Lepisosteus oculatus: one gene and its partner. The protein of the gene in region 1 purifies or fractionates together with the protein of each later gene. This does not show direct contact. Links are inferred from orthologs where the notes say so. Each region holds a gene or a part of one and is shown in the gene's direction. Other genes may lie near its edges.

Region 1 (16,136 bases):
GAGGTACCCATCTGGCTGGATTATCATGGGAAGCATGTCAGCATAGAGCAGGTGAGCAGAGAGACAGGACAGCCTGTCTGTGTGTCTCAGGGCCTGTCTCTCTGTCTGTGTGTCTCAGGGCCTGTCTGTCTGCCTGTCTGTGTGTCTCAGGGCCTGTCTGTCTACCTGTCTGTGTGACTCAGGGCCTGTCTCAGGGCCTGTCTGTCTGCCTGCCTGTCTGTGTGTCTCAGGGCCTGTCTGTCTACCTGTCTGTGTGACTCAGGGCCTGTCTGTCTACCTGTCTGTGTGTCTCATGGCCTGTCTGTCTACCTGTCTGTGTGACTCAGGGCCTGTCTCAGGGCCTGTGTCTCTGTCTGTGTGACTCAGGGCCTGTCTGTCTGCCTGTCTGTGTGTCTCGGGGCCTGTCTCAGGGCCTGTGTCTCTGTCTGTGTGACTCAGGGCCTGTCTGTCTCTCTCAGGGCACGTTTGCGGGGATCCTGATCGGTTTAGCCCAGCTCAACTGCTCTGAGCTGAAACTGAAGAGACTGTGCTGCCGACACGGGTCAGTGGAGACGCCTCAGCCTACCCCCCGTCTCTCTCCTCTCCTGCCCCCCGTGTGTCTCTCTCCCCTCTGACAACCCCCCTCTCTCTCTGGCCCTCAGGCTGCTGGGGGTGGAGAAGGTGATTAATTACGCCATTAACGAGTGGCTGACGGACATCCGCAAGAACCAGCTGCCGGGGATTCTGGGAGGAGTGGGCCCCATGCACTCGGTGGTGCAGCTGTGTGAGTACAGGAAGTGACCTCGGCGGCCGCGTTCCGGCCCGGCCCGCTGCGGCCCGGCCCGCCTGACGCCCTGTCCTCCTCTCGCTGTGCCTGCAGTCCACGGGGTGCGGGACCTCTTCTGGATGCCCATAGAGCAGTACCGCCGGGACGGGCGCATTATCCGCGGCCTCCAGCGGGGGGCGGCCTCCTTCGGCACCTCCACGGCCTCCGCTGCGCTGGAGCTGAGCAACAGGCTGGTGCAGGCCATTCAGGTACGCCCCGCCCTCCACCGTGCCACGCCCACTCCACCATGCCCCGCCCTCCACTGTGCCACCCCCACCCTGCCCCACCCACCAAGAGCCCCACCCTCCACTGTGCCACCCCCACCCTGCCCCACCCACCAAGAGCCCCACCCTCCACTGTGCCACCCCCACCCTGCCCCACCCACCAAGAGCCCCACCCTCCACTGTGCCACCCCCACCCTGACCCTGCCACCAAGAGCCCCACCCTCCACTGTGCCACACCCACCCTGCTCCACCCTGCCCAGAGCCCCACCCTCCAGTGTGCCACGCCCACAACCTGCCCCACCCACCCAGAGCCCCACCTTCCACTGTGCCACTCCCACCCAGAGCCCCACCCCCACCCTGACCCTCCCACCCAGAGCCCCACCCTCCACTGTGCCACGCCCCCACCCTCACCCTGCCCCGCCCAGAACCCTGCCCTGGGCCGTGCCCCTCCCACCCTGTCCTGCCCTGTCCACCCAGAGCCCTGCCCATCCTGCCCTGTCCCGCCTCTCCAGAGCCCCGCCCTCCACTGTGCCTCCCACCCAGCCTGCCCCTGCTGAGCGACAGGCGTGCCCCTCTCCCCAGGCCACAGCGGAGACCGTGTACGACATCCTGTCCCCTGCGCCGCCTCTGTGTCGGGCCCTGTCGGACCGGCGCCACGCCCACCGCCGGCCAGCCCAGCCTGCTGACCTGCGTGAGGGTGTCGCCAAGGCCTACGACACTGTCCGCGAGGTAAGACTGCTGGCCGGCAGGGCTGCTACCTGTCCCTCACCCCGTCTCTGCCCTGTCTCTCTGTCTCTCTCTCCCGCCTGTCTGTCCGTTTCTCTCTCTCCTGCCTGTCTGTCCGTTTCTCTCTCTCCTGCCTGTCTCTCTCTCTCTCTCCCGCCTGTCTGCCTGTCTCTCTCCTCTCTCTCTCTCCCACCTGTCTGTCCGTTTCTCTCTCTCCTGCCTGCCTGTCTGTCTGCCTGTCTCTCTCTCTCACGCCTGTCTGTCCGTTTCTCTCTCTCCTGCCTGTCTCTCTCTCTCTCCCGCCTGTCTGCCTGTCTCTCTCCTCTCTCTCTCTCCCACCTGTCTGTCCGTTTCTCTCTCTCCTGCCTGTCTCTCTCTCTCTCCCGCCTGTCTGCCTGTTTCTTTCTCTCTCCCACTTGTCTGCCTGCCTGTCTCTCATTCCCCCGCCTGTCTCTGGCTGCTGCAGGCCTGTATTCACCCCTCTCTCCCTGCAGGGGGTGATAGACACGGCGCAGACCATCTGCGTCATGGCGTCGCGGGGTCACGAGCAGAAGGGGCTGCCGGGGGCGGTGGGCGGGGTCCTGCGGCAGATCCCGCCCACGGTGGTCCGCCCTCTCATCGTCGCCACGGAGGCGACCTCCAACCTGCTGGGCGGCATGCGGAACCAGATCAAGCCGGACGCGCGGAAGGAGGACTTCTTGAAGTGGCGCACCGAGGACAGCCAGGAGTGAGGGGGAAGGAGAACCCTGCTGCACAGGGCGGGGCTCCCGCCCCCCCCAGGGGGACTGCAGAGGCGCCGCCCTGCTGGCCGGCCCTGGTGTGGGAGCTGCTGGCGGGTGCTCGTCTCTGATCCCGGAGTGGCCAGTGTCCAGCCCCCACTGTCCCCTCCATGTGTGTGCATGTGTGTGTGTGTGAATGTGCTGCTCGGCCCCTTCCCCCCGCGCGCGAGTCCATGTGCCATGACCCTCTCCCTCCCCCCCCCCCCGGCCAGGCAGAGAGGCGCCCCTGTCCAGCGCGTTCGGGTGGGGGGGGGCCCGAGCGGCGGTGTGCTCTCATGTGACCACAGCTTCGAATGGACGAATGACCTGTACATTGATCACCCAGACCAGATTAAAAAAAGAAATAAAATATTTTAAAGTCTAACTGTGCCCTTGGGAGGCAGGCTGCTGGCGTCTCTCTGGGGTGCAGTGTGGGGGGGGGTCCGTTTCATGCTCCTGGGTCCCCACCAGGACCCCCGCTGTGCCCCACTTTCCTCGGCGGTGGGCCCGGTTCTGGCCCAAGCCCAGGTTAAGGTGGTGGAGGGGCTCATGTTGACAGCACTGGGACACAGACTGAAGCAGAAGGGCACGGCGTCACCCCCCCGGAGTGCAGGGCGGGGTGGGGGGTGTTGGGGCGCAGTTTTACTCGGCACAAGGAAGAAGCTGTAACCCGGCGCCAGACACGGACCAGAACCGGGCGGGATTCATCCCAGGCAGTGCCCTACCTGCCTGCAGGGGCCCACTCTCCTCTTAGTTTTGAGCCAAGAAGCCTGGAATCTGTGGAGGAATCTATAAAACTGGAGGGTCTGTACTTTACACAGAGAGTGGTGGGAGTGTGGAACAGCCTTGTGGCCTCCAGGCTGTTCAAGATCTCATCCAGGGGTTTCTGGCATCGGCTTCAATGTCATGTCTGGTGAGCCTGTTCCACTCCCCCACCACCCTTCTTGTAAAGTAGTGTTTCCTTTCCTGCATGTGAGGTGCAATTGCCCCTAGCCTGGGGGGGGGGGGGGGGGAGTTGTGTTCCAGTTTGTTCTGGAATTTATTCTGTGAATACTCCCATCAGACTATCTGAACAAGACTCAACCAGTTCACCTCCTTCTCCTGCTGCAGCTGGGACACTCCTTTAACCTCCCGCTGAGAATCTGCTCTTTCCTGGACGAGCTGCAGCTGTCTGCACTGTCCCTCTCCACGTTCTTACGCCCCCTGGGCTACAGGAGGTAACGACTCTTATAAAAAGAGCGCAGTCGTATTACCTTCTTCATAAAAGAGACCGAAAACACTGCGTTGGCACAACACTTACAGCTTCCGGGGCCTGTGGGTAAGAACTGGAAAAGGAAGGAATGGGGAAACGTGTTGAAAAGAGGAAAGAGACCGAGACGTTAACTGAGACAGGGCTGCGTCTTTGTCTCTGTGGTTGCCGGTCGCTGTTGCAGCAGAATGACAGCCGACCTTTCAGCAGGACCTGCTCGAGTCAAAAGCCTCACAGGCTCCCAGTCCCCCCAGTGAGCATCAGCATAAACTGACACCGACGCCCACACATCACTCATACTGTGAAGACTGCAAACAAAAGGAAGGGTTTTACCCAAAGAGTTGTGGGAGTGTGGAACAACCTCCCCACCTTGATTGCAGGAGAGAGAGGGATGTTTCTCTGCCTGCTCTTGGATGGGTTAGTTTCCTAGCAACTGCCCCAGGGGAAACGGGCAGGACAGGCCCCTGAGCTGGCGCGGGGAACATCACGAGCCCACGGGCACAAACACCAGACTGAGGCGCTTTATTGAGCGTGGGAAACACTACAGAGGATACACACAGGCAGGGGCAGCGACCCTGGCCCCCTGGAGGGAGAGATGGTGTCAGCCGGCTGCCGCCAGGCACTGGGGAGCCTGAGGTCCAGTCCGGTCCTGGCTGGCCCACGCCCACAGGCCCGGCCGGCTCACAGCAGCTCCGACAGGACGTTGGAGGCCAGACTGCAGGTGAGGCCGGTGCCGTCCGGTTCAACGCTGAGTTTCCGCACCACACCGTCCTCCACCAGCATGACGTACCTGCGGGGACACACACAGAGCGTCACACTGCGGCCCGTGAACACTCGGACACACACACCCTGCAGAGAGTGACCACTTCAACACGCTGCTCCCCCAGTGGACACAGACCCGCCCGCTGTCCAGCTGTGTCCAGTCCCCACTCCCACACACTACACCCAGGGCATCTCGCCAACTGGTCAGCGGAGGCCACCACAGGCTGCCCTCTACCCCAGGGGACTGGTCAGCGGGGGGGACAGAGCAGCGAGAGCCCCTGGGGACTGGTCAATGACTCGCAGAGCGCCCCCCAGCCCAGCCCTGACCCACCTCTTGGACCGCGGGTTGCCCAGAACCTCCAGGAAGTGCTCAGTGTCCAGAACCAGGTCCACCGCCTGAGAGAGAGAGAACCAGCGGCTCAGAGATCAGAACTTCACAGACGCCGAAATACCCCCCATTCCTGCCCCCCCCCCCCCGCCGGCGCCCCCTGCTGCTCACCCTGGTGAAGGCGCCTGTGGGGTCAGCCAGCATCCGCACCTGCAGGGACAGACAGACGGCCGCGGGTCAGCGAGAAACTCCTGCGACAGTACCCCCTCGCCCCCTCGTGACAGTACCCCCCTCCTCCTCTCCCCCTCGCCCCCCTGACAGTACCCCCCTCCCTTCACCCTCGCGACAGTACCTCCCTCCCCTCCCCCCCTGACAGTACCCCCCTCCTCTCGCCCCCCTGACAGTACCCCCCTCCCTTCACACTCACCCCTGTGACAGTACCCCCCTCCTCTCGCGCCCTCGCCCCCCTGACAGTACCCCCCTCCTCTCACGCCCTCGCCCCCCTGACAGTACCCCCCTCCTCTCGCCCCTGTGACAGTACCCCCTCCTCTCCCCCCGCCCTCGCGACAGTACCCCCCTCCTCTCGCCCTCGCCCCTGTGACAGTACCCCCTCCTCTCGCCCCTGTGACAGTACCCCCTCCTCTCGCGCCCTCGCCCCCGTGACAGTACCCCCTCCTCTCGCCCCTGTGACAGTACCCCCTCCTCTCGCGCCCTCGCCCCCCTGACAGTACCCCCCTCCTCTCCCCTCGCCCCTGTGACAGTACCCCCTCCTCTCCCCTCGCCCCTGTGACAGTACCCCCTCCCCTCACCTTGCCCTGGGCGCTGTGCTCCCGGCCCCAGGCCTCCATCACGAAGGCGTCGTTCACGGACACACACGCCACCTCCTGGATGCCCCGCGCGCGCAGCTGGTCCGCCTGCTGTATGAAGCCGGGCAGGTGAGTCTGCAGGCAGGGGAGAGGGGAATGAGGAGGAGGCTCTTCAACACCAACCCACCAGCAAGAACCTGGCTCCAGGTGTTTCAGAGTGTACTCCAACCCACTGCCCTATACGGCAGGGAAGTGTGGGGTCCCCTCACAGACCAGGGGTACACTCACCCCAGAGAAACTCTGCACATGGAGATCTGTAGAAACCTACCTGCAGAACCCTAAACAGACAATACACACTAGCCGAATATCTAACCAAGATAAATAACAGCAAACAGTGAGCCTGTCTCTCAATAATAATAATACAGTGTGTGATCTCCTGTCCCAGCCTGAGGAATAGTGAGCCTGTCTCTCAATAATAATAATACAGTGTGTGATCTCCTGTCCCAGCCTGAGGAATAGTGAGCCTGTCTCTCAATAATAATAATACAGTGTGTGATCTCCTGTCCCAGCCTGAGGAATAGTGAGCCTGTCTCCCAGTAATGCTCCAGATGTCTGTTTGTAAATATTTTATGACCATGTCTTTATTGTAAATGTCTGTAGGTTGTATTTCTTTCGCTCTGGCAACGCGGATTGTACTCATAGGTCATGCCAGTGAAGCACCTTGAAGTGAACTGAGAGAGAGAGAGGGGAGGGGGCTCTGGGCCGTACCTTGGAGCAGCCGGGGGTGAAAGCCCCTGGCACTGCGAACAGGACCCCCTTCTTCCCCTTGAACAGCTGGTCCATGGCGACCTTCGACCCCGGGTCTCCCTCGTGCACCTCCACTGCGGGCAGCTTGTCTCCTACCTGGGAGAGAGGAGGAGGAGGAGGAGGAGGGGGTGAGGAGACGGACACAGAGCGGCAGGACTGGGGCGCACCGACGCCACCTTTACACTGAGGGCGGTGGGTGCCGGGAACAAGCCGCCCACCCGCAGCGAGGGGTGCGCCCCTGAGCTAGCCGTCCTGCGGGCAGGAGGGGCGACACGGCGCCTCGGCGGAGGAGGGAAGGAATAGGAGGGGACACACGGCGGAGAAAGGAGGAAGGAGACGGTCGCGTCCAGTAAATGAAAGGTTTCCGAGATGAGGAAACACTTCCACGCGTGATGAAACAGGAACGCAGAGCCGGATGCCAGGCGCGTTTAGAAATCAGTTTCTTCTTTTTGCGTGTTGAAATCTGGAGCCGTGTGCGGTGGGGCGGGGCGGGGGGGTGGTGCTGTGGGAGCGGCGTTGTGTAAGCGGCGCCCTGCGTCACATTATTATATATATGACATTAATTAGCACGGCCGGGATGAAGAAGGCCCGGGCGGACCGTGCGCTCGGCGTCGCCCATCTCGTCCCGGCGCTCAGGGCTGGGTTGTCAGCTGTCGGGACTCCGGAGAAGTCTGGCGGAGTCTCGGCCCCGACACCGCCGCCGCCCACCGAGACCTGCACCGCCGGCAGCCCCGGTCCCCAACCCCCGCAGCCCGTGTCCCGCAGGCGCCGAGCGGGGGGCCGTGCGTGTCCCGCAGAGGCCGGGCTGGCTCTTACCTTGATGGGCATGTTCGCGACGGCAGAGGCGTGGAGGCGTCGTGCGGGCAGGAGCAGCGTTCCTCGGGCCAGCGACGCGAGAATCATGTTGCCCCGCAGGTGCGCGTCTATATATAGCGACGGCGGATCTGGGCTCTGAGGAGGCGGGAGGAAAGGAGGGGGGGGGGGGCGTGAGGAGCAGAAAGACAACAAGAAGGAGAAACTACTCGCTAGCGAAGACAGTGCGTCCACCCCTGGTGACGGGACAAACTGCGAACTGGAAACCGGCGGCCATTTTGGCTCCGGCTGCGGAGCCGCAGCGCCCGGCCGTACTCCACCGCCGGAGCCAACATGGCGGAAGGAGGGGCCCAGTGCCGGCAGGCAGGCAGGCAGCAGCAGGTGCCCACCCCCACCAGGTGTGCGAGAGTTGCATCAGGCCTCTCGGGAGGAGCGGCAGGCCCGTGTGATGTACACACTGCGCCTGTTTGTACCCACAACAGGACCCGGGTCCGATTACTGCGCGCGGATCAGGTATCCAGCGGCCCCGGCGCGTCGGGCCTCTCGTTCAGACAGGCGTGCAAGGCGACAGGCAGCCCCCCACGTCTCCCCCACACACCCGGGGTCCCCCCCGCCTGTCTCCTCACACGCCTGGAATTGTTTTAAAAAATGGTATTAAACGTATGAAGAATTTACAAATCCAACCAGAGGATCAGAAACAGGAACAAGGAGGAAGAAACAGGAGCAGTCAGCTGCCGGAGGGGATGAAGTAAATTGCGTGATCAGAGGGTGTTTTTTACAGATGTGTAAAATCAAATGTGCTCCTTGCTTTAGCATTTTTCACATCTTTTATGGAATTTAAATAGTGTTTCAACTCCACCTCAAAAGTACTATAAAGGGGAGTACTATTAGACCACTTTGAGTTGTGACTGTGAAGTTCACCCAGAATGGCTAATAAATTTACTATAATGCATAGCAATACATTTATATTTACATCTATATATTCATATGTGTGATACGATTTTTCTGTGTACTGTTCTGTTCTAGTTTGTTCTTTGTGTGTCCAGACTGTGAGAAACTCTTTTCGTGCACCCCTCACTGTACTGATTGTATTGTATGTGTTGTACTATTATTATTATTATTATTATTATTATTATTGTATCATTCGTCACACTGCGGCTGTGTTGTCTGTGTAAAGCTGCTGTTGCACTGCAATTTCCCTCACGGGATCAATAAAGTATCTATAAATCAATGCTCTTTTTCCAATGTTTCTATTACATATTACCATAAAATATCGAAATCCTTAAATCTAAATAAGCACCTTTGACTGCCTGCAAACAAAACTCTGCACGTCCGTCCGGAACAGCTTCACAAACACCCGAGCAAGTAACAGGTTTATTCCAGGCGGAAAAGAGAGAACACACAACGTTTCGGCTGTGAGGCCTTCTTCAGGCGTGAGAGAAACGTTGCGTTTTCTCTCTTCTCTTCTCCACCTGGAATAAACCTGTTTCTTGTCCCCTTTGCAGCCTGACCCTGCGGACGCCGCTCCCCACCTGCGCTGCTTTACAAATTCCCCTCAGGTGCGCTGGGATTCCCGGAGCCGGTTGCCCTGGCGACCGCGTCATAAGCCCCGCCTCCCCGTGGTGATGTAATGACCCGCTTTCCTGGAAGGATGAGCCAGCGAGAAAATAAACGGCCCCGGATGACCGTTGCCGTGGTGACCGAGGAGGAAGGAGGAAGTGAAACTGGAGCCGCCGGCTCGGCGGGGAGAGACGCGGTGCCCCTGAGCTCTCTATGTGGGTCAGTGGGCGCAGAGTGCCCCCCCAAACACACGGGCGCGCGTTTCACCGCCAGCCTGGTGGTGTCCAGCTACACCTGCGGTGTTTTCTAACACACAGCCTGGCGGGTCTGGGGTTAATCTGGGCTGACCGGTCCCCCTGCACGCCTCTGGGCCGACTCGTTCTTGTCCGTAAACTAGTACCACTCAACTGCGGCCCACCACGCAGAGCAGGGCGGTGTTTTCAAACCTGGGAGCGGGAGGCCCTTCTGTACACAGAGGGTGGCGGGAGTGTGGAACAAGCCGCCGTGTCCATAGACGGACAGGTGTGTGCCACAGGACACCCCGATGTCTTTCAGGAGTCAGCCGGATGAGAGCCGGGGACCAGTTAGCAGACAGGCTGAGGGGCTCCTCTCCTCTCCTGTTTCTCTGTTCGTGACTAGTGGGGACACGTCACCCCGACTGGAAGATTCTCTCCCGGTATTTACAGACGCGCTGTCCACAGGCTCTGATGCGGGTGGTCACTCCCCTGTCCCTGTTACTGAGCCAGAGGTCGGGTCAGAGCCCAGCCTCTTGACGGAACCTCCCAGTTCCTCTGTAACTGAAACCCAAGCGCACCATTGTTCGAGAATCTTTTCAACAGCAGCCAGGAACGGGCGGAGGGAGGATCAGTTCCTGTAAGAGACTGGGTCAGGATGAGAAGGAACAGGTGAAGGTCTATTTCAGAATCGCCACTTAAAAACTCAACTCAACTGAGGCACGAACTAGGGCGGGAGCGGCGAGGGGCACAGAGCCCCAGAACCCGAATCCGGTACAATAACAGAAGGACAGACAATGAAATGTGGGCTATTTCGAAGTCGCCAATGTGAGATAAAAAGTCGCAATTGCGAGATACAAAGTCACAATTCTGAGATATAAAGTCGCAATTCTGAGATACAAAGTCACAATTGCGAGATGCCATAGCGCGTTGTTTTTACTCCCCGATAGAAAGGGGCTTTCATACAGGTGTGCCGAAACAGCGTGGAATAAACCGTGTTCCCTATGGAGAAGCGGGAATGTATTTACCACACTCCGTAAGGGCTCTTTAGAAATCCCCCGGGTGATTCTTGAACATAGTGACGAGCTGCGGGAGTTGTTGTCAAGAAAAACAACGCCGTGTGATCTGTACCATAAAACGTGGGTTCGTTCGATTCCTCATTCTGTGGCGGAACCAGTTGTTCCGCAACGTGTGCGTCCTGGGGGACGTATTTTACTGCTGTACCAGCTCCCGCTTCTTCCGGTCCATGCTTCCACCACAAACACCACCGGTGGGCCTCTCGACTCGGCGTGAGTTTTTCCCCACAGCGACACCAGGACGCTGATCCCGCGCGTGTGCCTCCCACGGTTCCTCCAGCGTGTCTCGCTGCGTGTCGGCCCCCGTCTCGGGATGAAGCTCATCACGCACAACATGCTGACCTCGCACGTGAAGGGGGTCACCAAGGGCTACCCGCTGCTGATTAAAGTAAGGCTGTTAATTACCCCCTGCTCATTAGGGCGCATGTGTTCACGCAAGGACAGTTCATTACAGACCGATACTATGGGGGGGTGTTTTTCAGTTAAAGAAGTTTAAAATAAGTATGACCGATGGCGCCCTAACTAAACCACTGTACCTTTTAACAGTCTTTACAATGACTGACAATATAGCGAGCACTGCGCTGTTAAAAGTGTGAAGTGTACGACAGAATCTGCCTCCATGCGCGTCTCTCTGTCCTGACGGGCCTCTCTGTGTATCGATTCAGTTCAATTCCAGGTGCTTTATTGGCATGACCGGTGAGTACAATCAGTGTTGCCAGAGCAAAACAAATACAGTTCACATAAAACAACAATCTACAGACATTTACAATAAAGACACGGTCATGAGATATTCACATATAAACATCTGGAGCATTGGTGGGAGACAGACTCACTGTTCCTCAGGCTGGGACAGGAGATCACATACTGGGCTGCCAGTTCAATTGAGTTCCCTCCTCCCTCTCCCAGTAGAATTGGGACCCGTTGTGATTCTGTCAGGTGTGGGAACTCTGGGATTAGATTTCTGAATTTCGGGAAGAATGTTTCTCTAATTCCAGAGTGTCTGTCACAGTGCAGTAGGAAGTGCACCTCTGTCTCCATTTCTCCCTGTTGGCAGTGGGAGCACAGCCTGTCCTCTCTAGACAGCCAGGTCTGCCTGTGTCCAGTTTCTATGTCCAGGCTGTGCTCACTGAGCCTGTCCTCTCTGGGCAGCCAGGTCTGCCTGTGTCCAGTGTCTGTGTCCAGGCTGTGTTGTGCGTTGTGTGTATTGTGCCGTGATGGGGTTGAGTCTGAGTAACGAGTCTCTCTGTCTCTCTGTCTCTCTGTCTCCCTGCTCAGGCCACGGAGGTGCAGGTCAGTGAGGTGGAGTTTAACCCGGAGTTCCTGTCCCGGATGATTCCCAAGCTGGAGTGGGGGGTGCTGGTGCAGGCGGCCGACAGCGTGAGTCAGCTGTCCTGTCTCGGAGAGACCGCTGGGGCCGCGGCCGGGCTGTGACCCTCCTCCTTTCTCTCTCTCCAGCTGGGCCACCTGAACGACCTTCCTAACGAGCTGGCTCCTGAGCACGAGAAGGACGAGGAGTTCCTGCGCAGGGTCCACCGCGTGCTGCTGGAGGTGAGCTGGTACTGCGCACACTCACTCTCCCCTGCACACCCGCCTCTCACTCTCCCCTGCACACCTGCCTCTCACTCTCCCCTCTCACTCTCCCCTGCACACCCGCCTCTCACTCTCCCCTCTCACTCTCCCCCTGCACACCCGCCTCTCACTCTCCCCTCTCACTCTCCCCCTGCACACCCGCCTCTCACTCTCCCCTCTCACTCTCCCCCTGCACACCCGCCTCTCACTCTCCCCCTGCACACCCGCCTCTCACTCTCCTCCTGCACACCCGCCTCTCACTCTCCCCTGCACACCCGCCTCTCACTCTCCCCTCTCACTCTCCCCCTGCACACCCGCCTCTCACTCTCCCCTGCACACCCGCCTCTCACTCTCCCCTCTCACTCCCCCCTGCACACCCGCCTCTCACTCTCCCCTCTCACTCTCCCCTGCACACCCGCCTCTCACTCTCCCCCTGCACTCTCCCCTCTCACTCTCCCCTGCACACCTGCCTCTCACTCTCCCCCTGCACACCTGCCTCTCACTCTCCCCTCTCACTCTCCCCCTGCACACCTGCCTCTCACTCTCCCCCTGCACACCTGCCTCTCACTCTCCCCTCTCACTCTCCCCTGCACACCTGCCTCTCACTCTCCCCTCTCACTCTCCCCCTGCACACCTGCCTCTCACTCTCCCCTCTCACTCTCCCCCTGCACACCCGCCTCTCACTCTCCCCCTGCACACCCGCCTCTCACTCTCCCCTCTCACTCTCCCCTGCACACCTGCCTCTCACTCTCCCCTCTCACTCTCCCCTGCACACCCGCCTCTCACTCTCCCCTCTCACTCTCCCCTGCACACCTGCCTCTCACTCTCCCCTCTCACTCTCCCCTCTCACTCTCCCCTGCACACCTGCCTCTCACTGTCCAAAGATGTATCTTGGAAGCTGTAAAGAACTTGGTTTTCCAGGGGTAACCCCCACCTCTCTCTCTCTCTCTCTCTCTCTCTCTCTCTCTCTCTCAGGTGGAGGTGATGGAGGGCAGCCTGCAGTGTCCAGAGTCGGGACACCAGTTCCCCATTACCAAGGGGGTCCCCAACATGCTATTGAGTGAGGATGAGAGTTAGAGAGAATACGTCTGTTCACAGCTACCGACACGAGCCCTGCCCCTGTGTCTGAACCAGCTCTTCACTGTGTGACACTGCACTGGGGTGTCCAGTGGGGTCAGTGCTGGGGGGTCACACTGCACTGGGGTGTCCAGTTGGGTCAGGGCTGGGGGTCACACTGCCCTGGGGTGTCCAGTGGGGTCGGCGCTGGGGGGGTCACACTGCACTGGGGTGTCCAGTGGGGTCAGGGCTGGGGGTCACACTGCACTGGGGTGTCCAGTGGAGTCAGGGCTGGGGGGGCTCACACTGCACTGAGGTGTCCAGTGGGGTCAGCGCTGGGGCTCACACTGTACTGGGGTGTCCAGTGGGGTCAGTGTTGGGGGTTACACTGCATTGGGGTGTCCAGTGGGGTCAGTGCTGGGGGTCACACTGCACTGAGGTGTCCAGTGGGGTCAGCGCTGGGGCTCACACTGTACTGGGGTGTCCAGTGGGGTCAGTGCTGGGGGTTACACTGCACTGGGGTGTCCAGTGGGGTCAGTGCTGGGGGTCACACTGCACTGGGGTGTCCAGTGGGGTCAGGGCTGGGCTCTTATATGATCTGCAGAGGCAGACTTGGTCAGTTCATTGATTAGCTGATTTAGGACAGGGGCCACCCGCTGGGGTGGCTGAACAAACCCCTGCCACTGGTCCAGACTGACCCTTGACCCCTCTGGGCAGGCCAGCCTGCTCCTGTGAATGAACTCGCTCCAGACACAGGGGCACTGCTGTCAGCTGCTGTGCTATAAACTATTTATTTTCATCCGTCTTGCTGTGATTTAAATTTGATTTCAGTTTTTTGTCCAGTGTAGGACTGAGACAGACCCCGTGTTCTACAAACATGTCGAGTCTGTGAAACAGAAAAAATAAAAGTTAAACTCGACCACCAGCTTCTCTGTGTCCTCAGGTCTTCTTCCACTCTTTCTTGACCTGGACGGGTACGTCAAGGGTACATGTGATAAGGACAGGGAACAGGTGCACAGATCCTGTACAGAGATAGGTGTGTGGACAGAGACAGGCACAGTAGACAGGTGTGTGTGTGGTCAGAGACAGGTCCAGTGGACAGGTGTGTGTGGATAGAGACCAGTACAGTAGACAGGTATGTGTGTGGACAGAGACAGGTGTGTGGTCAGAGACAGGTCCAGTGGACAGGTGTGTGTGGATAGAGACAGGTCCAGTGGACAGGTGGGTGTGGATAGAGACAGGTCCAGTGGACAGGTGTGGGTGTGGACAGAGACAGATACAGTGGACAGCTGTGTGTGGACACAGGGTCAGTTCCACCTACCGTCGAGAGCCGCGTCACACAAGAACACGCCAGACCAGAGGAGCGGTGCGCTCGTGTGGCTTTATTATAAAAAGAAATACAGAGGAGCACAGGAACACACCTGACCCCAGGGACACCAGCAGGAGGCGGGACCAGTCCCGGAGAGGTCGTGGGGAATAAAAATAGATTTCAGCTCTTAAATACATTTCTCTCCCATCATACGGTAATTATTGAATTTCTTCTTCCCTGCTTCCCTCTGGATTAGAATGATCGTTATTACTACTGCTCATATTGATCGATAGCAGGTAAAACCAGTGACGTATAGAGGAGTTATTGCTCTTGTAACACGCACACGCACACGCTAGACAGAGACGAGACCGCAAACCCGTGACGAACTCAGAGTGCTCTTCCCGGTTCAGTACCCGAACCTCTCCAAACGCTGCCCCACTCTGCAGCGGGCCGTCCCAGCCCGGCCGGGCGTCCCGGACCCTGACCCTACAGCGACGAGGCCAGCGGGACAAAGGAAATTATTGCTCTGGAAAACACTGGGGGGGGAAAACACAACAGCCTCTCCCCAGCCCGAACCCGGGCTCCTGCGGGGGGGCCAGGCTGGGACAAGGGACCTGCCGTCTTTACGCAAAGGGCGTCGGGGGGGTGCGACCAGCAGCACAGCGCGCCTCTCGGGCTGCTGTCAGGAATCCCGCCGGCTGGGCTGTCCACCCCCCTGATCCGGAGCCCAGCGCTGCCTCCACCCTGAACTGCAGGGGGCGCTCTCGGGCGGCTGTCCGGACTCTTCCTCCTGTGTTTTAAAAGGAATCTGGAGGTTTTGCATTCTAAACAGTTTAAAAAAAATAAACAGCAAAAAAAAAAAAGTCATTCTTAAATCTGCCCGTGGGAAGTTTCTGAAGCACTGGCTCATTATACACTAGTATACATTATACACAGCTGCAGAGACACAACCGCCCTGAAGAAAACACACACACACACACTTAGACACAAATACACCGTATTCCTACACGATAAATTACTCTACTCTCCCTATCCCAGTATATATAAAAAGATACATTATTTTGCTTCTGGAAAAACAGTCTTTGTTAAAGCTGGAATTCCTCGCCTGGGGCCCAGGCCTGCTGGCGGAGAGCTGGGATGAGCAGCCAAGCCGCGCACGCGCAGTAGGCCAGTATCACTCCCCGCAAGGCCGTGCGATGGCTTGGACAGCAGCAGGAGCCGCGGGACTGCCCTGTCCTGTCCTGTCCTGCTCCCCTGAGCCACGGCGTCGGCGCTGAACCCCACTCTGTCCCTCAATCCGCGTGTGAGGATGTGCCTGTCCGTCTGTCTGTCTGTCTGTCTCTCCGGGTCTGTGAGGATGTGCCTGTCTGTCTATCTGAATCTGAGTGAGGATGTGCCAGTCTGTCTGTCTCTGTCTCCGTCAGGATGGGCCCGTCTGTCTCTCTCTCTAAGTGTGAGTACTTGCCTGTTTCTCTGGCTCTGAGTGTGAGTATGTGCCAGTCTGTCTCTGTCAGGATGATGTGCCTGTCTGTCTCTCTGGCTCTGAGTGTGAGTATGTGCCAGTCTGTCTCTGTCAGGATGTGCCTGTCTGTCTCTCTGGCTCTGAGTGTGAGTATGTGTCTGTCTGTCTGTCTGTCTGTCTGTCTGCGGACGTTCCTCTGGAACAGCCTCTTCCCTGAAGAATATCCTATGGCCTTGTTCTCCCACACATTCGGGGTCACATGTCTGTCTTCCCCAAACAATCCAGCTGCCTCAGTGAAGGGTGACACTGGGGTCAGGTGTCCAGTATGGCTTTGTCTCTCATTTGGGGGGGGGGGGTCTCTCTCCTCTTCCTTCTGGCTGTTGTGCAGAGAGAGAAGGAGGCAGTGGTAGAGCCAGCGGGTGTGGGGAGGTTTCGGGGGGCCGGCAGGGGAAAACGGGGGGTTTGCACTTTAGGTCCCCTGTCTGCCTCTGGGGAAAAGCCCCGATCTCCTACTGCTTCCTTCCTCTCCATCTCTGCCCCACCCTGCGCCCCTCCCTCTCTCCTTACAATCCTTAATCTGACCCAGCTCCTCT
Region 2 (16,124 bases), on another chromosome or scaffold:
CAGCATATTTAACACTACTTTTCTCCATTGTTGGGACTATAAAAGGTGCCTCTGGAAAGAGAAGCCTGGCTGCACAGGACATGTCTCACTCCTGGTAGGATTTGACAAGGAGCCACATGAGTAACACAGTGATTAAGACAATCATGAAGTTCAGGAAGAGCTCCTGCACTGAGCGATCCATTCTGCTCCGGCCTGAGGACGAGGGCTTTGGAGGGGAGATCTGTGCCAAAGGCTCAGTTCGAGACGCTGGAGTCAGTCGCAGCAGGAAGAGCCACACACCTTCTGCTCCCAAGGCTGGGTTCCGACGGGAAGGAAAAAATAACCGTCACATTCCAGAATCCTGAGGATCCTGAGGCATCCTGAGTGCAAATTTTACCATGGCTCTGTCACTGTAAGTTAATCTAAGAGCTATATTTATAATGCATTCTATTCCACTGTCTTTTGCCTCACTGCATTAACATTGCCTGTTGTTCTATAGCAGATCAACTGGGGATATCAAATGAAATCTTCTGTGTTATCACATCATCTACAACAAATATAAATGCAGAACCTTCATATCCCGTGTTTGTACCACTGGAAATTGTGTTACGGAACTTCAATATTAAATTTTACGAGATAGACAGATACTTTATTGATCCTGTGAGGGAAATTGCAGAACTAGTTACTACTAGTTATAGTAGTGCTACTCAGTTAAAAACTGTGTAGTCTTTCTGTCACAGTGTTCTTAACTTTTTTGAGCTTTGGTTAAATGTATGTGGATGTTACAGAAAGCTGATCGCAAGGGCAAGTGTTTAAGATTCAGCGCCTTTTCTTGCTGAGAAATGTTTTGCGTTTCACCAGGGAAACACAAATCCTCACCATCCCATAGGGACCACTTGATTACTTTGCAGCTTGTCACCCTATCAAGCGGCTATGATTGCTCACTCTAAAAATAGATTGTGTACATAGATTTACAGAGAGATTTAAAAGGCACCCCAAACCCATGCACCAGCTCTGGCCAATTTGCAAAGCTGCTCGTCTTTCATAAGTTTGGAAGCTGCCACGCTCCAGATGATTCTTTGACAGTCTAGAGGACACATGTGAAAAAAGATCACGTTTCAATATAACCAAAATTACTGCTCTGATAGATTCTTGGTGCGTGTGATGTCCTCTTATATTCCACAGACTACAAAGTGACAGCACGTACACAGCATCCCAACATTGTGAACTGGATACTGGTATTTCATTGTTTCATAGCCACTTGTCACTAAATATGCCCATCATCATGGCTGTTTTGATGGTGCTTTACTGATTTCTTTCACGCCTCTCATTTTACAGTTTTTTGCTGAAAACATTACATTAATGCTAACATTACTGTTGCTACTTTGTTGTACCAAAAGCTGTGTCAGGTCTTGAAAAGGATGCATATTATTTCCTAGATGTATTAAACAACACTGAAATCCCTGAACACTGAAAAAATTTCAGAATGCTGACGTTCTGAAATTATTTTGGCCCATGCCTTTTTTTTTATAAGAACTGAGTGTGGATGTAAAAAGGATTTAACAAATTATACAATGTTCTAAAATAAGAATGAAATAAGAATAAATAAAAAAAACAACACATTCCTTCAGCTTTTCTGAAGCTATTACTTTTCCACATATGACTTTATACCTGTAATGAAAGGTGAGTATCCTCTTTCCAGTTTAATGATGGAATCTACACAGGTTTGCGTGGCAATTGAAATAGCCTCTGTCTCATGTCAGCACCTTCTTACCTGGTTCAGGTATTGAGCAGTTTTCCAACAAAACCAGTTACAGTTCCAGGGTTTCTCTGGGGCTCACTGTTCTGCTGGCTGGTGCCTTATCCTCCAGGTCCATCTGGGCTGGGAGTGACTGAGTCTCCTCTAAAGTACTCCGAGGGAGGGGATCACCAAATAATTTGGCAACAAAAGCAGTGATGTCACAGAGTAAGTATTTAAAGTCCTGTTTGCAGACAACAAAGCAAGCCAAGGATTTCTGTGAGGGGATTTTTCGGGGGATTTTGGATATTGAGTTTGTATTTATTGGAATTTTAGCCCCTTGGGGAACTTATTTCTTTTGATGATGTAGATTAAGTCAAATCAACTCTATCAATAATATAATACGCCTTAGTCTATCCTGTACAATATTATATGTTACGTTTTATAGTTCAATGTTTTCTATAAAACTATAGGTACTATAACATTCACAAACATCACATTGGAGTTTTCTAGTGTTTATAGTGGTTTTTGATACTATTAGCACTCACTGCAATGCATTATGTTTGACTAAACCATGACTGACTTTAATATTTAAGCAATTCTTGCTTCTAACCACTAACTAAGCTTTACGTTGTTTTTCTCAGATATCTTTCTTTGCTTTTCTGAATCAGTGGTTACCATATACATGTTTCTGGGCAATGTGCTGTATTTACACAATGGCGAATCTTCAATTGCAGAATAATTCTAAGTGAAAATAACAAGTACAATTATTTGCCAAAACTCACTGTATTTTTAGCATTTTTTCAAAGTTTGCATTTACCTGATTTACCAGCAGAAACAGGATAGACACATTTTATCAACGATACAAATTAACTGCTGAAGATAATGGCTGCATGCTAGGCTAATTACTGTATTCCAGACACAACCATGCTTGATCCTGGACGTCGATTCTGATGCAACCACTGGGATATGATGACTCTGACCTCATTAGCAGGGAGACTGAACATTTGTCCAGTTGTGATAGATGGAAGCTGCCCAGTGGACAGTGGTGAAAGTAATGCACTTCATGACATCCGGATCGACAGCATCTTGTACGAAGCAACAGAGTGGCACGGTTGTCCTGAGTACCTGGAAAATTGATTTAATACGGCAAGTGGACAAGTGGTGGATATGGGGGAGAATACTCTAATTTATAAATGTACAGTATCTAAGGAGTGCACCACAAGAAGACATAAAGACCTATTCTCTGTTTTGTGCCTTGATTCCATTAAATTCCATTGAATTAAATTGTGAGCACAGTTACTCCAGATGGAGGATACTGTAGATACTGGATGAGCCTTTTCCAGGTCCTTCTGTTTCGACTGAAGGATGAAGGTGTAATGAAAAGTGAAACTTTTATCCTGGCACTTACCACGAAGCAGGATACACCAGAGAGGAGACGGAAATGTTAAACGTTGCAGCGGACAATGTGTTTTCTTCCTTTCATTCTGCTCTTCAAAAGAAGAATGTCTTTGTGGATAATATATTTAGTTAATATACTAATGTATTTAGTTATTATGTGATTAATGTATGATCTAAAATACAGCTGTTTGATGTCCAGAAATGAATATGCCGAGTGTAGATCAATTTTCAAGCACTACCATTGAAGTGGCTTTTTTAGGGGCAGAAAATCAGAACTATACATATTTAATATTGTCCAAACCTGGTAATTATATAGGAGGTTGGGAGCCCAGTATTTCCTGGTATCACTACAATATTCATTCCATTGCTAATACAATCATCTAGTCAACATCTAAGAGTGTTTATGAGGACTAAATGGAGTGGGGGTGATCACATATGGTTGGGATATTTTCAAATAAAAGCCTAAATAAGATACCTGCAATACAGAAATCATTATGCGTTATGATTATATTCTCCTAATAACCACAGTTTACAAATTAAAAATATGGAGAACATTTAAAATGTTAGCCCATACCATTGTTTTGTCATTTTGTGTATAGAAGACATTTTGCACACTCATGCCAAATCTTATTGAACAGTGGGACAGTTTTCTATAGGGCTGTAAAACTTGAACAACTATGGGCTCAGTTATCTGCTATGCTGTAGTAGTGGAAAGAGAGCAGTTGGATCAGTGTTGTTAGATCAGTGAAAATTGAATTGCCTTTTATACATTTTATTTCCTAGATATCACTGTATCCTCCCTCTTTACGATTATTTCCTGCTCAGTTACTATTGTGTTTCTTAACAATTCTTGAGAAGGGCTACACTCTAACCTTCTCCTAAATTCCCACAGCAGTCACTGCTTCATACCTCACATACTGTAGCCACTCTGTTCTAAATATAAAGCTACATTCACTATCCTAAATTTCATATGGGAATAAACATCCAGTGTGGCATGAGACTGGAGCTGATACAGTATGAGCCTGTTTTCCTCATATTTTCCTCAAATGTTGACATATTGTACAATATGAATTTGTCCATATTATTTTCTAGTATTCTTGGACACATTTCTAGGGTACAGTGCTTCAACTGAACTGCTATATGAGTCACTATTGACACTCACATTTTAACACTCCTACCAAAGAACAAATTAGGTTCTTGCTACAAAGAAAAGAAAGAAGTACGTGGTTTTTCATTTCTTTTTCGGTAGATCCCACTCCTTGAGTGACTGGAGTGACTCAGGTCACGATTTTAACCAAAATATGAGTTCAAAGTGACAGGTCATATAACCTTCTGCCATTATGTTGAAGGTATTGCAGCTCAGATGTTTTGTGTGTGTTCAACAAGAAAATGCAAAATGCAGAGGTGGGGTCTTAGTGTCCCAGATCTTTAAGCACCTCTTTGGATAGGCAGACAAGAGCTCTGCTTTAGGAACCAGTGTGGAAGCAAAATTCGATGCACCCTTGCAACTTCAGTGCTGTTTCTGTTTGCTGAATGAAAGCCAACAAAGTAGATCATCAGAGTGCAGAAATGTTTCCTGTATTAATCTTCATCTTATGGTAAACATTCCATATGGTGAACATTTATGTTCTGTGTCAAATTAGCTGTATATATTTGCATTTAACAAGCTGAAATATAAGGATGTTTTCTAGAATCCTTGCAATATGACCTCCTTGCAAAACCTTGCCTGCAACCGAGTCCTTCCAGGCTATTTGCCACCTTTAACAGCTGTGAACACTAGTATTGCTCAGCTATTACTCAAAATAGACATTGCTAGATTATTCCATATCAAAGATTCTTATAAGGCACGTCTACTTAGACCCTATTTTTTGTCTTTCCTCCCTCATCCAAATGTTCTACAGAGCCCAGCTTTCTTAAATGGTTAAAGTAAGTTAATATTGGTTAACTATAATTAATAGAAACACTTTAGTAGGATTTCATAATGGATTGTATAAATCAATGATATGCTATCAAGTACGACAATTTCACAAAACTGTAGTTCTGTACAAGTTTGGCCGTTTGTTCTTTGCCTTAGTGATTTCAATGTATGAAAAACAAGTTGCATTTTATATTTAAGGTTTTAATTTCACCAGTTGGATGCAGTAGTTTAACTTCTGGGTCACAAACACCTGCATTTTGGACCCTAACATGTAGAAAACTGAATAGAGTACCAGATGGTCATCAAATGAACAGAGAACCAGACGTCATGTTGTTTGCATATCTTGCTGTAAATCTAATAACCTCACCCTTACCATATATGCTGTACACAAGATGCTGTGTTTATTGCAATTCATCAAAATGAGTGTACAGGAAGGCCTGAAAATGATTAATGTTAGGATAAAGCATCAGTGCCAGTAGAAGGACTTTGTGTAAAGGTCTAAAACATATAACTCATCTCCTGTCTGCTGGAAGTGGGGTCTTGTTAAAGGGATTGCAGGTTAAAAAATTTCCTCATGCTTTTCATTCTTAGTGATGATTCTAGAGGGCACTATATAAGCAATCAGTGCTATTTAAAAAACAGGTCAGATTTCTCAGGAGCATTCTGTTTCATGCGATTAAAATATAGAGATTCCAGTGTAGATCTGCCTTGGCTACAAGGTTGAAATAACAGAGCTTTGAATGCATACTGCAATGATACACCTTACAGTTGAAAAATCCCAACCGGGATGAAGGAGGCCATGGAAAATTACAGACATTTCGAACAGGTGCCTTCAGTTACAGCGCCACTGGAGGGTGCAGGTTTGTCAGTTATGGTAAAAACTAAGGGTTTAAACTAAAGTGTCTGTCCCAGCTGCACTGGATATTGATCTTATTCTGTCAGCTCTGTCAGCTTTAACCTTTGCTGGCTCAATGCCTCTAATTGGTCACTTTCTGTTTATAAAAGGAAATGGCAAATTTAATTGCTGCTCACAAAGGTGTCGTGTTGTATGACGGAGGTTTAAGGGAAGACGTATTTTTAACGTTAAACTAGCTTCCACGGGTCAGTCATGTGCGCTGTTGGTCTTGGCCGTGATAAGTTTCCAGACAGAGAGGGCAGGCCAACAATGTGTCAACTAAGCCACTTGACATTGCTGGACAGGTGGTTTTCAAAATTTGTTATTAAACACTGTGCCGCGTCGTTTGATCCTGGTTCAGCAGCCAGTCATACAATATCACGAAAAAAAGCCCTCAAACAATCAGCAGACTATAACAGACAGGGATGAGTGCAGAATGCAGAGGTTGGATATAGTCTAATTGATTCCCCTCAGACATACAGCTTAAAGCTTGCCGCCATAGGCTAAATTCTTCTTTGCTCTTGATGATTGATCTAAGGTGCTGAAACTAAAGTTGATCTCTGTTTTCACATTGACACCAGCTAACTCACTGCCCTCCCCAAGCCTTCCACGTTAACATAAATAAATACCAAAAAGGTGATAAATACCTAGCAGTGTGCTGGACAGCAAGGCAAGTCTCTTTTTTATTTACACTTAAGGGAACTTCAGTTGTGGTTGCATTACTAATACAGATATGAGACTCATATTTAAAATTTACGTGAACCTTAAGCGTTCATCAGCCTTACAAGAATGAACAAAGCTTTCGGTGATTAAAATCGCCACACAGCGGGAAGCCAGCTGTACTGTAGTGGGAGTGGAAACAATCTACCTTTCTTTCTCCCAAAAGTGTTTCTAAAGGAAATTCTTCCATATTTTCTTTTCAAGTTCGATAGTCTTACTATTTCAATTCATGATTATTTGATTTGGGTTGTTTCACAGGATTGATGCCCTGAAGCCAGGCTACAATACCAAAGGTAAATCTGATTTAGATGAAGGTACCAATAAAAAAGGCTTGCAGTGACTGATAAATGTTCACCTGTCACAACAACAATGTACTTTTTAGATCAAATTACAGTTCTGTGACAGTGCCCACATATTTATACCCCTCTTCTCTTTCAACCTGCTGACCATAAATTCTCAGTTATTAACTTTACCAGAGTCTTTTCCACATTTAAGTAGAAGAATGAACTTAAAGGGACACTATTCTGCAAAGACATCAATTTCCCTTTGAAATGCCACTGTTTCATGTGTCCACAGAAACTGTGCCATCAGGGTATTTTATGAAAAGATTTTCAGCACTAGTATTCCAATAATGTAGGTGGAGTGGTGGCTCTGTGGCTAAGGATCTGTGCCTGTGGCTGGAAAATTGCCGGTTCAAATCCCTTAGCTGGCAGAGGAATCCTACTCTGTTGGGCCCCTGAGCAAGGCCCTTAACCCCAACTCCTTCAGGGGTGCTGTATAACGGCTGACCCTATGCTCTGACCCCAAGCTTCTCTCTCCCTGTTTGTGTTTCATGAAGAGCAAGCTGGGGTATATGAAAAGAGTAATTCCTAATGCAAGAAATTGTATAGGGCTAATAAAGTGATGTTATGTTATAAAGTTTTTGTATATAATTTGGACACTACTGGAGAAATTACCGATCTTTGAGGGGCTCCTATGGCCCTAAAGTCACAATATGTACCATTAAGTGCTTCAGATTGAACCCAGTATACAAAAGTAAAAACAATGTTATATTTTATGCAGACAGTACACACCTTCTTGGGTACTAACCCCCGCTGTTAGTGGAATATGTCATAAACATGTTCAGAAACTTTACTGTGCAATAAAAGCAGACTGTGAAAGAATTTAGAGAACACTTTTAAGGGTTTCCTCTTTTTCGGCAGGCAATCTGGGAGAGAGGGAGTTTAGTATCTATTTGTTAGACCAATGAGACCAATGAGAAACTTTCCGGGAACACATCCAGAATGTTAAAACCATTAATATAGAAGGCTTGTGCAGAAAGATCAGAGAGTAAGACAACAGGTGTTTGGTTTTACCACATTTGGCATGCAAACCCTTACTGATGGCTGTCCTTGACTTAAAAAAGCAGTAAGAACTCGTAGTCAAGGACAAGAACAATTCAGAGTGGTCTCAAATCACTGATGTGTACAGGATGTGTGTATGTCTCATGTACAGCAACTTTCTGTTTGAGACATGCACACATCATGTATTGATTAGTTTAACATGTTAAAGTTCTACCAAACTTATGTTTACTATTAAGAGCAATATAATTATTTTAATACATAAACAAAAAGCACGGCAAAACTGACTGCTGTCAGTTTTGTTATTAATCCTTCCAGCGATGGCTTTAACTGCCGCTAGGAACCATTTTCTTTTCTTCTGTTTCGTTCAGTGTTCAGTTCATTGTGGCACCATGGAGACATGCTTGGAAGAAGGCGTGAAACTACAGAAAAAGACTAAAGAGGAGAAAAAACTTTTAAGGAAGCAATTAAAAGCGAGCCATACATTACTAAAACATGAAGGCATTGACACAGTGTTGATACCAACAAAGGTGACACTATTTTTGTTGAAATAAAGCACTTGTAGTACACCGATCTTATGTTTAAGATACAGAACCTTAAAGATGTTTTTATAATTTATATAAAAATGTTTATATTGTATGTATGTCACGGATATGTATGTCACTTAAAAATGTAAATTGTATTGCGCTTAATGATGCTGTCATTAGCAGGTTTCGTTGCTTATTACGTACGCTGTTATTCATCAGTGACAGTTTGATCAAATCGTAACGCCAACCGAATGGAGTATCTTTGTTTCTTCCCCGAAATCGATTTAAAACTCAAATTAGCCCAAGCCTAAAAAGAAGGCGAATAGGTAAACGAATAGTCACTCTATTAGTACTCTTTCTGTGCAATTAACAACCACGTGTTTAAGAGAGCATTGTTTTTAAAACCTTAAGCATTTGGCGTTTTCATGCCTTGATGATCAAATGATTGAAAACAGTAATGAAACATCAAACGTGCGTAGTCGCTTTGCCCGGGGCCCGACAATGTAGGACGAAAGAAAGGCAAGTGAAGGGAAAACGATTGTGATTTCTCTTGTTTCAGAGCCTGGTGGTAGCTAACGGTGGGCTTGGCAATGGGATGAGCAGAGAGCAACTGCTAGAGGTGCTAGAACAGTGTGGCTCACTCAGGGCAGTACTCATGCCACCAAACAAGCCCTATGCCTTTGTAACTTACCAGTCCGTAGATGCTGCTCAGCTGGCGCACAAAACCCTCAATGGCAGACAGCTCGATACGGAGCACCAGCAAGTCACCCTGTACTTAAACTTTGTAGAGGAAGGTGAGCCGAGATGTTTGTTTGTTTGTTTGTTTGTTTGTTTGTTTGTTTGTTTTTTATTTGTTATTTTGGAAAGTAGCTGTGGCAAGATTGCGGAAAATTCAGTTACAGGTACATCTCTGACAGTCAGGGGAAATGTCGGGGTAAAAAGCCAGCTCAGGCTTGGTTTGTAGGGCAAAGGGAAGATAAGTCGAAATGTGGGCTGCCCTGCAGTGTTATTTATTAAGAGGGTTTGGTTTCAGGGTATCCCGTGTTACTGAAAAGAAGGAAGCTTTTTCCAAGGAATTGTTTTTTGAGCGCTAGGTAGGGCGGTTTCTGAACACAGGGGCAGTAAGGCTGTTACAGTATAGAAAATAATGCAGACAGGCATTGATTGAGGGACAGTCTAAAGCTGGAATTTAACAAAAAAATATTGTCCTTAATTCTATGCTTGTTGCAGTGTACAGTTTTAGAAATGGACTATGAAAAATGTTATTTTTCCAATAAACACAAGCCTTGGATGTCTGAATGTTTAATTATTTTATTTGTGAGGTTCTTATAATGAAGTTATAGTGCTCTTTTCATACTAACAGATTTGAGAGAACCTGAGGCCCACTTTTAGAGAATCAGTCCTACTTTTAACAATTTTATATTTTACCCATGGAAAGTGATGGAAAGTACAGAACCTGTTACAGCAACAGCATGTTGAGTGATGACTTGGAGATGTTTAATAATGAAAAGATCGTTTTGTTCAGTGATTTGCCACTTTTGTATCCTGACGTGTGTTTAGATCATCTTAATCTCAAAGGTTAATTGGAGGCAACCTTAATCGACAGTATGTGTGACAACATCAATGAGTAAGGTCTCAGTAACTTCACAGGAAATGCTTTAAGGATGCCCACCAGTGTCTCTCTCTGCAGTAGGAAGTGTGGTTTGGCAAGGACAGGAGCTGCCCCCTGGTCTGAAGGTGGTGGAGGAGTTTCTATCACCTGAGGAGGAAATGAGACTGCTGGGAGCCATTGACTGGGGTTCTCATAGCAACACAGACACTGGTGAGAGGTTCATAGCACTTTCTAAAGTCTTTCATAACAGTTACTTCAAAATCTAAATATACCTCTTTTGTGTACCTGTTTCTGCTAGTGAATTTGAATGGTTAGTAGTGCCTTAACTTCAATGTTTTGAAATATTTAAGAAATTGTAGATTTCAAAAAGTTAATAAAATCATAACAGGCCTTTGTGCCTTGATTTATAGCATTTCTGAAAATGTAGTAGTTTCTCGCATTTTAAATTCATTTAGTAATAATGGATATTAGATTGGTGTGGAATAATTTCTTTTCTCTTGCTGTTATAGCTCAGAAGGCTTTGAAACATAGGCAAGTAAAACACTATGGCTATGAATTTCGGTATGACAACAACAATGTGGACAAAAACAAACCTTTACCTGGAGGTAAGTACATTTGTATGAATTATTTTCTATAATTCAGTGATTTGATTTCACAGTTAAAAAATCCAGGTGAATTTAAATTGAGTGCCAGATACTGGGTTGAATACAAAGTTTTAGTTGTTTCTATAATGTTTTTTCTACCTCATCATTGTTGTAAATAGAATGTTTGTGGTGCTGCTTGTTTTTCAGGCCTGCCCATGTTTTGCAATGAAGTGTTAGACAGATGTCTGAAAGAGAATCTCATAAAGGTCAAACCTGACCAGCTCACAGTAAATCAGTACCAGCCAGGACAAGGTAGGCTGTGGTGCACTAACACTGATTCAACACAAGAGGGCAGCAAAGACCTTTTGTATAAAATACCAGCTATCAGTGGGGAGGAGAACAGAGTGATGAAACCAGTTCTGAGATGGGGATTATTATGGTAAAGGCCATGGGGAATTTTGTTCAGGAGATTGGGGTAACACCTGTACTCTTTTCACGAAACATCCTGAGATTTCTAATGACCATGGAAAGTCAGGACATTTTTTTGTCCGAAGCACGGCGCCTTTTTTACAATATAGTGTCCACATCACTATATGGTGGTAACAGGACCCACATAGAGTGCAGGGTGAGCACCCCCTACTAGTCCCACTTCTTTCAGCAGTAATTTTAGGTTTCCCAGGAGGTCTCCCATCCAGGTGCTGGCCAGGCTCACACCTGCTGAGCTTCAGTGGGCTGCCAGTTGTGCCTTTTTTGGTGCACTTATTTGTATTTTCAACTTTCCAGTAACAAAACAACATTTCTTCAAAGGCACATTTAAAGGGAAAAACAGACCCAAAGTCACAGAACCCCAGAGACACAAAATGTTTCAGGTGTTTCAAGGAGCCTTTTTCAGGTGTTACAACCTTCACAGACCCGAAGAAGGCTCCACAGCTGAAATGCTGTCACTTTTATTTACTTTCAGCATGGAATTAACCTTTACCTGTTCCTTTGCTGCTTACACATACTGATGCAGCTACCTATTTTAATTTCTTCTACACCTCAAACAAGCAAAACCTCAGAGCACAAAATCTTCCATGTCCATAGAAGTCCATGATGGAAATTTTAATTATAAGCATCTCTTAATTAATGTTTTTTTATTAAAAATAATATTTTTTTGGGAAAAAAGAAGCTTCCATCTTTGTGATTAAATGGATAACATTTGATTTGCTGGGATACTGCAGACCTGAAAGGTGATACTCCAAGTGTATTGCAGCATCTCTATTGGAAATGGACCATATATTCTCTGCAGCATGAGGAGCTTGAGAATGTGTCAAAAGACAGATCCTTATTTGTTCTTGTTTGCTTCATAAGAGTGAATACAGGGTGTGTTGGTGTTTGAAAGAGCCATTTTTAATCATTGCTGTGTGTAGGAAATTAACAAATCATTCAGAACAGAAAGTTACAGAGATTATTTCAACACATATGCTTCATGTGTTGTAACAATTATTACTTTATTGTTGTGCTTGAGTTATGAGTTAGACTTTCTAATCATTTTGCAATCATGTTCTCATCAGAGAGTGGAACCTACTGTGCTGATTGCTCAGCATTACAGCTGAACTCTGCGGTACTGAAGAGAGCTTTTCATTGTCTACAATCTCAGTATGTCCACTATTAAGGAGCGGAAAAGAATAATGATTTCTGGGTTTATTTTGAATTGTTTAGCTGTAATCAGTGTCAGGTTTCTGATCTTTGTTTTTACTAAAGCATGAGGAGGTTATATGCATATTATATCCCAGATTAAATCACATGCAGTGCATACACGAAGACACATGGACTTAAGTGTTACATTGTTCTGCAAAATGTGATATTTTTTAAATATATGCTTTTATTTGTTTTTTGTTGTTTTTGACAGGTATTCCACCTCACATTGACACTCATTCTGCCTTTGAAGATACAATCATCTCATTAAGTCTTGGAGCGAAGGTACGCTATTTTTGTTTTTGGTGTGCAGTAATCCCATCAGCTATATGTTTATAAATGAGTTATTGCTTATATTGGATGTAGGAATTTCTTCATTTTTTTGCAAAACTGGGTTCTTCTAAAGCCATAAACCATTTTAAACTCTTTTGTTATTAGAAAGACTTGTGTATTAAGTGCAAATACAGTACAGTAGTATAGGATGGTATTTAAATGAATTTAATTAGGCCGCTAAATCAAATTTAAAGCTGGAGCCTGTGTGATGGTTTTTTAGAAAAGACCAGGATTATCTGATCAATGTCATATTCGGATACACAAAAATGTTTAGTTCTTCATCTTGATTTACCTTCTTCTACAATCTTCTATCTACTATACTAGTAATACTACTATTATACTATAATATACTAGATACTAACTGAACAGTACCAGCTATACTATGTTATACATTATACTCAGTCATAAATAGTTGATATAATCAAGGTATTTTGCCCATCTCACATTTAAGCTCTGTCAATTAATTTGATCCTAGAGCCCTTCATAAGAGTAAATTACCTATTACCACTCATTAATGAGTGAGAGAACCGAAACCTTTATGTTCTCTGTCAGGTTCTTTGATAGCATTATAGCAGTCTGAATCCGCAGGATTTGTGAGCAGTTAAACCAGAAAGTAGGAAGAAATTCTTTAGAATATGAAAGCCAAAGGCGATGTGGAGACTATAATGATGGAAAAAAGAAACGCAACACCCCCTCCTCCACACTATGGCCCTCCCATCTGCGTGGAACAGGCTGAAGAGTGACTCATCTGTGGAGAGGACCTGATGCCAATGCTGACGAGCCCATCGCAGCCTCTGTCTGGCCCAAGTCAGTTGGGTGTGATGTCTAGGAGGTGTGAGCAGAGGGCCTCTGATAGGTCGCCTTGCTCTAAGGCCAGCAGCATGGAGCCTCACTGTCCTGTCACTGATGTGGGCATTGTGTCTGCCAGCAGTTTCAGCAGCAGTACGGGTGGCAGATCTGAACCGATCTCTCAGATGGACCAGTCTGATGTGTCAGTCCTGCTCTGGTGTGGTCAGTCGAGGGCAACCGGATCTTGGACGGCCATCTGTCCTGCCAGTCTGCTGAAACCTTCTCTGCAGTCGGGATACAGTGGAGTGGCTTACTCATTAGTGTCTGGCAATGCTGGCACATGACATGCCTGCCTGCAGCTTGCCAGTGGCCCTCTCCCTTGCTTCTGGTGACATTCGAGGCATTATGGAAAACAAATTAACAACTTTTTGTGAAAATACATAAGCTATAACTATAGCATTCTCATTCCAGAAAATGTTGTTACTTTTTTCTATTAGTATATTTAAACTGCATGATCCTTTTAATGGCAGCAACTGAACTTTAGATGTGTGTTTTTTGCATTCTGAGTCTTTTAGATTAAGTCTGTTTTGTCTGGATGGGGACCAATGAAATCTGTTGAATTGTTTAAGCCCCATTCTAATTTCTCTTGGTAGTCTTTTGACATCCTTAAGGATCTTAAAAGACTGTTGTTGTTTATTAAAGAGATGTTTAAATCAGCCTCCCACTCATAGCTTGAGCTTGGAGACTTTCTTCGTCCAGTTCTTGAAAGATGATATAGTACACAGAAAACCTCATGCCCCTTTCCAAATCTACTAAAATGTTTATGTATTGCGATGAGTTAAAGACTTGACTTAATGTCTGAGTTGTTGATCACTCTAAAATAATCTAATAATGGTTAATAGACCAGTCTGAAGCATTGTAAACCATAAATCGCCAATCATTATTACAATTTTCAATTAGAGCCTCAGACTTTCTCCAGGTCATTTATTGAGTTATTTTTAAATTAACTCTTTTTGCTTCACTGTTAATGAGGAACTGTTGGCAGGGCAGATTAATTACAATTCACAGAGTTACTGGAACCTGAAACAGTGCTTTAGACACAAATCATTCAGTAGTCTTACTTCACTGGATGGATAGCAGGTGATTTCTCTCAAAGTAAATGTCAGACTCTGACAAGCTTTACTACAGTCCAGTGATTTACTGAGCTACTGATGAACTTTGTCCAGATCTTCCCTCTGAGCAGCGACTAAGGCAAAACATAGCCCCGGTTTGCAATAATAGGAACATTGCAAACTAGAACAAAAACAAAATGTCAACTTGGCAGTCTGCATGGAATTCAAACTAGATAGGGGTCGATTAGAAAAACACTTGAGTCGTTTCTTGTGCATGAAAATCGAAATAGGTGACACGAAGAGCTTCAAAAACAGATTAGTTTGTGAATGTCCCGATTTATATGTTTCACTTTTTCCATCAGGCTTTACAGAACATTTGTATGCTATGCAGCAAGGTCACCATCATTGTCCTGGAGGTGGAATTCACTCATTTGCTATAATGTGACTCATGGAAGCCTGCCTGCTCGAATTTTTATCTTGCAGTTTAAGTGACCTGTGGTTAGGCTTTTATTTATGCCTCTAGAGAACTCGGTGCTTTATTAGAGACTGTACATCCTGACCAACTGAACCTTAACGTCTCACTCAGGTGTGATGTTGTAATGACTTCGGCCCATGAGCTGGACCTGTGGCCAGTCTGGTGTTTCTCTCTAGTCCCCACAGCAGCCCTGACTATCTCTTGAATACCTGCTGTTCTCTTCACTCCCTCCTGGATCATTGATCAACCCGTTCCTCCTTGAGGGGTTTATGACTGGCATCTATATTCCATCTGTCAGCTTCGTTCTGTGGAATTTAACCTTCTCACTCTCCTTCATTCTTTTCCTTATGGTTGCTCTCTGTTGTTGCTGCTTACTTTTCTTGCTCTTGGTGGGATTTGCATTTCCTCTTTATCGCGTCCCTCCGTGGACTTTCCTGTTGATCCCCCGCCGTCTCATAATCCTTTCTGCGATCTAAAATCTGTCACTCTCTTTTCATCCTGGGTGGGTGGGGAACTAATGGAGTCAGAAATGAGCTCGCTGTGTTCCTCTCTGTCAGCTGCTCTCCGGGGGCTCGGCTGTAATAAAAGGCCTGGTTGTTGCTATGGTCCCTCTCCAGGTCCCTTGACTCAGTCCTAATGTGCAGGGAATACACCAACTTCTGTATTCATCTGGGACCCGTCCTCCTGTCAGTTCTGCTTGCTTTTCTCTCAAAGAGTTGCTTCCCACGTGGTAGAGAAAACAACCTAGTAGAGTGGTTTGACAGGCCGAAGGACATGCCTCATGGGACATTTTCAGTATGGTACTCTCTCACAGGGACAGTCTCGCTCAGCTGCTGCCTCTCCACTTGGAGTTTTCTTTTGGTATCTTTTCAAGCTTATTTCTGACTCACTGATGGGTGAGAACTCTGGGTGTGAGCCCACTGCAACTTGTTCCCGTTAATCCCCGATCTCTGACTGGGAACCCTTGAGGGGTCCTGATGTTTCCCTCCTCTGAACATTGATATCCTAACAGAGCCCTAGACTA

Evidence for each region.
Region 2: the proteins of trmt112 (region 1) and alkbh8 purify together in Homo sapiens (co-immunoprecipitation; 3 studies listed by IntAct, with this or other methods). This does not show direct contact. The link is inferred for Lepisosteus oculatus from reciprocal best matches to the Homo sapiens genes TRMT112 and ALKBH8.

The regions. Positions count from the first base shown.
Region 1 is NC_090713.1:23,015,233-23,031,368, forward strand, and holds trmt112 (multifunctional methyltransferase subunit TRM112-like protein), read left to right. Parts: upstream 1-10,306; 5' UTR 10,307-10,460; coding exon 10,461-10,535; intron 10,536-11,422; coding exon 11,423-11,524; intron 11,525-11,602; coding exon 11,603-11,695; intron 11,696-12,691; coding exon 12,692-12,793; 3' UTR 12,794-13,697; downstream 13,698-16,136. Other genes in the region: atg2a (autophagy-related protein 2 homolog A), read left to right, coding at 1-51, 459-541, 642-763, 860-1,014, 1,612-1,758, 2,250-2,486; prdx5 (peroxiredoxin-5, mitochondrial), read right to left, coding at 4,444-4,552, 4,856-4,920, 5,024-5,062, 5,662-5,793, 6,427-6,561, 7,282-7,416, 9,285-9,350. UniProt on the Homo sapiens protein: Acts as an activator of both rRNA/tRNA and protein methyltransferases. Together with methyltransferase BUD23, methylates the N(7) position of a guanine in 18S rRNA.
Region 2 is NC_090700.1:10,187,202-10,203,325, forward strand, and holds the start of alkbh8 (alkylated DNA repair protein alkB homolog 8), read left to right. Parts: upstream 1-8,357; 5' UTR 8,358-8,383; coding exon 8,384-8,521; intron 8,522-9,077; coding exon 9,078-9,312; intron 9,313-10,208; coding exon 10,209-10,340; intron 10,341-10,639; coding exon 10,640-10,735; intron 10,736-10,921; coding exon 10,922-11,026; intron 11,027-12,605; coding exon 12,606-12,676; intron 12,677-16,124. Other genes in the region: sarcolipin, read right to left, coding at 86-181.